Linked DNA regions of Arabidopsis thaliana. The protein of the gene in region 1 purifies or fractionates together with the protein of each later gene. This does not show direct contact. Each region holds a gene or a part of one and is shown in the gene's direction. Other genes may lie near its edges.

What was found. The genes of interacting proteins can lie anywhere in the genome.
Region 2: the proteins of AT5G44500 (region 1) and AT1G20580 fractionate together in Arabidopsis thaliana (co-fractionation; one large-scale study listed by BioGRID). This does not show direct contact.

Annotation. Positions count from the first base shown.
Region 1 is NC_003076.8:17,925,732-17,929,487, forward strand, and holds the start of AT5G44500 (Small nuclear ribonucleoprotein family protein), read left to right. Parts: upstream 1-1,715; 5' UTR 1,716-1,773; coding exon 1,774-2,538; 3' UTR 2,539-2,542; exon of another isoform or gene 2,543-3,421; 3' UTR 3,422-3,756. Other genes in the region: AT5G44490 (FBD, F-box, Skp2-like and Leucine Rich Repeat domains containing protein), read left to right, coding at 33-112; AT5G44495 (ECA1 gametogenesis related family protein), read right to left, coding at 620-979.
Region 2 is NC_003070.9:7,126,825-7,130,580, forward strand, and holds the start of AT1G20580 (Small nuclear ribonucleoprotein family protein), read left to right. Parts: upstream 1-2,042; 5' UTR 2,043-2,154; coding exon 2,155-2,313; intron 2,314-2,954; coding exon 2,955-3,007; intron 3,008-3,100; coding exon 3,101-3,167; intron 3,168-3,263; coding exon 3,264-3,317; intron 3,318-3,484; coding exon 3,485-3,547; 3' UTR 3,548-3,756. Other genes in the region: DPMS1 (Nucleotide-diphospho-sugar transferases superfamily protein), read right to left, coding at 163-267, 365-479, 567-731, 822-847, 924-1,000, 1,082-1,115, 1,210-1,309, 1,735-1,853. UniProt on the Arabidopsis thaliana protein: Core component of the spliceosomal U1, U2, U4 and U5 small nuclear ribonucleoproteins (snRNPs), the building blocks of the spliceosome. May play a major role in the splicing of cellular pre-mRNAs. Required for normal plant development.

The DNA of each region.
Region 1 (3,756 bases):
GTGATTCTGCCTCAAGTGGTTTGGTTCTCCAGCCGGGTCTTGCGGTGGGGAAAATGAGAGGTGTAGTTTGGCAGCGGATGACGCCTATCTGTTAGAACCATCTGGGAGGTAATCTATGAGTAGGGCTGTCATTTGGTCATGACCATGTCCATATGGCCGTCCGAGCGGACACTCTCTTTCTGTTGGCTTTGATGTTGCTATTGCAGCCATCTAGGTGTAACAAGCCAATGCATTCTTTTGTGAGCGCATTGGCCGATTAGATTAGCATCGATCAACATAGGTTTTTTCATAATATTTAGTATTGAATTTTTTATATGAGAGGTCACTGGTTAGTGCATAGCTCCTTCGTAAATCATTTATAGGAATCAAAAACAACCAAGATATGAGATGTGAAAAACATACTAATCCAAATGTGCAATTTAGTTAAAAATGTTATAGACAACTGTTAAGTAAAAATGAGGAAAAAGTGACCAGTTATTAATGATGTTATTATATCGTTGAAAAATTTTGATACAAATCGGAAACCTAATCGTATTTTCCAACTTAAACAAAGTAAAAGAAAAAAAAAAGAAAAAAAAGAAAGCAAAGGTTAACATTATTGGTTTCTAAGTTCTAATTTTTAGTAGGAGGCTCCGCCAACAGTTTTTGAACATTGTTCCTTTAGCATAGGAGGAAAAAACGGATTGAACGGAAGTTGCGGAATACAATTGGTTTCGGCTTCCAAAATTGCTTTGCAACAAGCTGAACCTATCTTGCCGAACTTTTCTAAGAGTATGGATTGCGAAAACTCTACGATGCACCCTGGAATATTTATCACAGATGATAAACATTTTGTTATATCAGGTAATCCTGGTACACCGGGACTCGGTAGAAATGGAAATGGAAAAGGAAAAAGTGCCGGAAATTGTGGTAATTGGGCATTTACAGACAATGCAATGCATAAAACCGCTAGAAATAAGATCACGTTTTTTATAGCCATAATAAAAAAAAAAAATGTTTGAAATATTCCAATATATAATTCTTTCTCGTGTTTGTTGTTGAGTGATAAACAATACTAAGATCAAATTTATTTATAGGGGAAGAAATGAACTATGGTGGTACTAATTGAATTTGTCTTTATGAAACGTTTTTCAAATCTTTATTAGGTAATTTAATAACAGGCAGTTTCTTATTTTGATTGAGTGAGCAGTTTCTAAAATTAAAAGATAGTCCACAGCCACACACCTCTATGAGAAATATTTATTACTTTACTATCGATGAGAGGAGATGATATATGTATAACCGAAATAATTCAGAGTTTAATCCAATAAATCCAGTTAATATTAATCCTTCGGTGTTGGTAGATCTTTTGTTCGTTTCTCCCTTTTTTTTTATTCTACAGCAAAAATGGTCTCTTGAATCTAAAGACAATACTCTATGTACAATATCTCGGAGATTCAACGATTTAATAAAAGTTTAAAGAGAATAATAATAATTTTTTCGCTCTTAGACAAAAAGAAATCATTAAAGTTTTTTCAATGAATAATAATAAATTTACAAAACTATACTATATAAATTAATTTGACAAATGGTGAAAAAAAAAAAAAGGCAATACACCTATGTTATGTATAGCCTAACCCATTCTAACTAGGCCCAAATTGAAACAAAGCCCAACAAGAAGGAAAGTGTCATTCATTCTTTCTCGAATAAAACCGTAGAAATTCCCCCTCTTCCCCAATTCCACTGCCAAAACTCTTCGCTTAATTCTCCGGCGTATACAAGTCGCCGGCAAAAATGTCGATGTCGAAGAGCTCCAAGATGCTTCAGTTCATAAACTACAGGATGCGAGTAACAATCCAAGACGGAAGACAGCTAATCGGAAAATTCATGGCGTTCGATCGCCACATGAATCTTGTTCTTGGCGACTGCGAAGAGTTTCGAAAACTTCCTCCGGCGAAAGGTAATAAGAAGACGAACGAAGAAAGAGAAGAGCGTCGTACGCTTGGTTTGGTTTTACTTAGAGGAGAAGAAGTGATTTCGATGACTGTCGAAGGTCCACCGCCACCTGAAGAATCTCGCGCCAAATCTGGATCTGTAACCGCTGTGGCTGGTCCCGGAATCGGTCGTGCTGCTGGACGTGGAGTACCTACTGGTCCATTGGTTCAAGCTCAGCCTGGTTTATCTGGTCCTGTTCGTGGAATTGGTGGACCTGCTCCTGGAATGATGCAGCCTCAGATCTCTAGACCACCACAGATTATTCGTCCTCCGGGACAAATGCCACCACAGCCTCCTTTTGCTGGTCAAGGAGGTCCTCCTCCACCTTATGGTATGAGACCACCGTATCCTGGTCCACCACCGCCTCAGTATGGTGGACAGCAAAGGCCAATGATGATTCCTCCACCTGGTGGTATGATGAGAGGACCTCCTCCACCTCATGGTATGCAAGGACCGCCTCCTTCTCGCCCTGGAATGCCTCCCCCCGGTGGTGCTCCGATGTTTGCTCCGCCTCATCCTGGCATGCCACCTGCTCCGCCAAATCACCATAATCAGCAACATTGATTAGGTAGCTGTTTATCAAGTTTTGGAACACTACTTGATTATCCTTTATTATCTGCTGATGGTTGCTTGTAAGTGTAGCTTGGCTATGATGTGAGATTTGGTTGAAATTGAACTTATTTTGATTTAGCTTGGACTTGTGTAGTGACTGAAGTTTATAAATCATAAGTTAGCTGCAGTCTCTACTAGTCTGCTGATAGTTTATTTGTGAAACCTTTAACTTACACAAAAACTTTCTTGTAACTTGAACTGATAACTTACACAGAAATTCTACTTAATTAGCCTTTATAATTTATCAGCAATTTCTAGTCTGCTTGGCCATGTGTGATTTGTGTGGAATTGAACTTGTCTTGATTAGCTTGGGCATGTGTTGTGAGTAGTAGTCTGCTCATGACTGTCTTAGCTTGCACAGTTTCTAGGTTGTTGATGAGTGCTTTGTTGTCAGTTGCTTTTCTTCTTATGTTTCCTTAAGAGTATGATCACTTTAAAAGGTTTGTTACTATAAAGCATTCTAGAATCATCACATTGTGAATCCTGTAACTTACACTCAGAAACTCTCTTGCCTGTTGTTCTAATGAGTTTGAAAAACCCTTATTACACTTTTAGAAGCATGAATAACTCATGATGAACTTCTCAGTTCACTTTTAAACGTGTTTAATATCTTCCCAACTAGTAGAACCTTTATGATCCTTGTTTAAGGTTTGTTCGTGAATTTTGTTTTGGAAAGCTGTAGATGTTGTAGGGTTCATTAGCTATATTGGAAGAACTTGTGGATACATCTTTTTGCCCTTGCTCTCTGTTGGCATATGATATTGGATGATTTTTTTTTTTTAATATCTCTGTTAGAAAGATCTGCTAAGTACAATTTTCTCGATCTGGATTGTAGGAGTCACTTCATCTACAACGAAAGCAACATCCACATGATTGAGTTACCCCTCGGCTAGTCGTAGCGTTTTTCTCCGTGAAGCTCAGAGAATTGATGAGTTCATATTGGTGATTTCTCGTGGAAAAAGCAACTGATTTTAGAAATAGTGAACTTGTAGGAGTTACAACCTTGCTCCATGAACTTGAATGTATTACTTGTAAAAGAGGCTCTCAATGGTTTTGACTGGCAATTCGGTTCTCAACATATATTAGGCTATGTTGCTGGTTATGTACGTAACAAATATCTTACGGTAGTCTTACACTGGATCAGACACCCACCCTCCTAAACATGCAACT
Region 2 (3,756 bases), on another chromosome or scaffold:
TGAACTTTTGAGTCTTAAAAGATGCGACTCTCTGAAGTCAAAGTAAGTGAAGTTTCTAAACGACATGATCAGAGTTCAACTGTTAAGAGAAATCTATGAAGCAATGGAACAAATGAAGAGTATAAAGAGAGACTCGTGTGTTGTTGAGTTGCTTGGTGTGTCTTAAGTTGTAAGCAGGAGATAGACGAGGCCTTTTAGATATTCCACTATTTCAGATCCTCCGAGTTTCGAAGTTCCAAAGACTCTGTCAACAAAAGTGATCGGTACCTGCAGATGAAGATGAGCACCAGAGAATCAAGAATATGAATGGAAATATAGTTTAGAAAGAATCAAAATCACAGTGAATTGGTATAAAAAGAGAGACCTCTTCAATATGGTATCCTTTTCTGGTTGCACGAACAATCATTTCCATCTGAAAGACATACCCTTTACTCACACATGAGCTAATCACGTCTTCAAGCGCCGATTTCTTGTATAGCCTTCCAAACAAAGAGGTGCGGAGGTCAGACATGATACTATCAAATGATGTCAGTTAAAAATATGCGCATATGTTATTTGAATTATACCGGAATGATCCTGTTAAATCAGATACACCAGGCCATAAAAGTGTTTGAGCTAGCACATTTGCTCCTCTACTAGTGAGTTTCCGCATAAGATTCCACCCGTGTACACCACCACCTTTTACATATCGTGTACCAGTTACTATACTTGCATTTGTCTCTAGTTGTTTCCTTTATGATAATAAGAAAAAAAACAAATCAGTTGAAGTCACTATAGGTTGTGAAACTAGTAAGAGATCAAGAGACTCTTCTTTTTCTTACTTGATGAAACTTGGTAAGTATTTTGGCTGCACAGAAGAAAAGTGACTGGGTTAGCTAAACAATTAAACAGGTAAACAAGAAAACTAAATTAATGGCTCTTACATGATGTGAAAGATCAGCATCCATGATCACGACGAAATCACCCGTAGCATGCTTCAAACCATGAATATATGCAGTTCCTGAGATTGACCATGCCAAGAAAATTAATTTCATTTCTTGTTAACCAAAACTAGAAGACAATGAAGATACAAATTACATACCCAAACCAAGCTTCTTGGCTCTAGCTCTTAAAAGCTGCATCATAAAAAAGATAAAAACATGATTTCACCTAAACAGAAGAACGCCCAATAATTTACAAATTAAGGTCTTAACACATCATTGTACTCACGATACGGTCTTCACCATACAATTGCTGCAGTTGCTTGACAATTTCCTGTGTGCCATCAGGACTCCCATCATCCACAACAATTATCTCAAAATCAACGTCCCTAAATCATACAAACAAGTAGCGAAGCAAATTCTCAGTAACAGTTAACAAAGAGTCTACTTAACAAGTGCAATTCTATATTAATTTCATATAAGCAGCCATAACCAGAATCGATCTAAGATTAGCACATGTAGCTTCTGACTATTCTCCGATCACTAAATCAAAGTTTTTAAAACACCATGAAACTACTACTATATAGTTTGAGGGATCACTACATTGGCCTTTACTAGCTCATGCACAGAAACAACAAATCACGAATTAGGATCTGCAATCTACAGAAACATGATCGGAAAATTTCCGAGATCCGTAACTTGAAATTGGCGATCAGGTTCGAGTATTCAGTAAAAGAATAACAAAAAACGTAATTCCGATTCTGAAATGAAAGAATGAACGTGAAAAGACCAAAAGAAATAAATATTCATTTACCGGAGATGCTTGAAAATCAGGTAGACTATGATAGCGATGTTGAGGCGCTCGTTGTAGGTAGGAATGATTATGCTATACTTGTACTTCTTCTCTCCTTTGGTCTCCATCTCGTCCGCCATCTCTTCCGGCGAGTTTTGGTAACGGTGGTTCCTTCGTCTTAACCCGTGAAATCAGCCGTCGTCTGTACAAAAATAAGGATTAAAATAATGTCAAATATAGGGACTAAAAAGCAAGTTTCTCAAATTGGGCCTAATATAAATATGGGCCTATATAAAGCCCAAAAATAAATCAGGAAAGCTTTAAAAGAGGTAAACTCGTCAATCGCATCTGAGTCGCTCTTCTTTCCTTCCGCCATTTTTTTCTTTCTAGGTTGCAGAGTTAAAGGAGAAGGTTTTCAATTAGGGTTTTGTAGAGAGAAAGATGAGCCGAAGTTTGGGAATACCGGTGAAGCTTCTTCACGAGGCCTCAGGTCATATCGTGACGGTGGAGCTAAAGAGCGGCGAGCTTTACAGAGGAAGTATGATTGAGTGTGAGGATAACTGGAACTGTCAGCTCGAGGATATTACTTATACCGCCAAGGTAATCAACTGATACTCTGAAGATCTCGATTCATTTTATATGAGACTGTTTTTTGAACCATAGGTTTCGTTTCAATTTCATTGTTTGATGTTAGTGCTGTTAAAACCCTAGATTTGGTGAGCTGGGCAAATTTGCTGGGAAATTTTAGATTGCTTCTTATTTTAAGTTCTAAGTGAGATTAAGAATCCTTGAAATTCATGCTGTATAAAACCCTAGAATGCGTGATCCTGCCAGTGACATTAGATAAATTTTGACTGTAGGGTATAGTCTCCTCTGATTGGTTAAACTTATTATTGATCTATAGGACACATCAATAACTGAGAAGAAAGGTTCTACGTTTGTGCTTTGTAACGTTTTATCCAAAGCCTAAGTTGCTCTTTAGGAATACAGTGGTCAAATGTGAATTATCTGAAGTATGCAGGTCTTAAAGCGTCCTCTTATTTGCGGATTATTGTGCCGTATGGGTTTTGAGTCAACCTGTAATTATTGGGAAAAGAACTACATGTAGTTCTCAATTCAGAAAGTCTTAACTCTTTAAGTGTTATTCTTCATAGTATACATAAATAATCTGTCAACTTAATGGGTTTGTTTGTTAATTGTCACTGAACTTTTGTTTTGGGTTTTCCAATGCTGTGTTACAGGATGGTAAGGTATCACAGCTTGAGCATGTCTTCATTCGAGGCAGTAAAGTCAGGTGCTGTACTTGTTTCCTTGTTTATGTAATTCATGGGATCATTCTTGTTAACCCTAGCTGTTTAGTAATTGACCTGCGGATATATCTTGACAGGTTTATGGTCATACCAGACATTCTCAAACATGCTCCAATGTTCAAGCGGTTAGATGCTAGAATCAAGGTATATATGCTTTTTGAACCCTGGATGCAGAATGATATTAGGATCTCTATACATATCTCCAACAAACATCTTACCTTACTTGCTTAATCAATGTAGGGAAAGAGCTCATCACTGGGTGTTGGCAGAGGTAGAGGTGCAATGCGAGGGAAAGTAAGTTCACCCTCTCTCTCTTATGATTTAGTGCTCATGAATGCAATGTTAGGAAGTTTTATGGAACTTGTTAAGATGTTCAAATCCTTGTTATCCCTTAATGGTTTGTTTCTTCTTTGTCACTACTAATGGTTAGATTCTTGAATCTTTGTGATATTATCTTAAAGCCGGCTGCCGGGCCCGGGCGTGGAACTGGAGGAAGGGGAGCGGTACCACCTGTGAGGAGATGATTGATTTTACGCTCAACATGTAAGCTTTGATTCTGGGATAGTCTTTCTGTGATATCCAGGTGAAAGCCGCCTTTCTTGGTTCTGTCATTAATGCTTTAGAGAACACTGTAAAACCAAACAAGAGAGAGAGATATCCAGATGCACTACTAGTTCTGTATTTTGGGTTACCAAGATGTTTGAATCATTGACAAGTTTTCGTTGTGATCTAT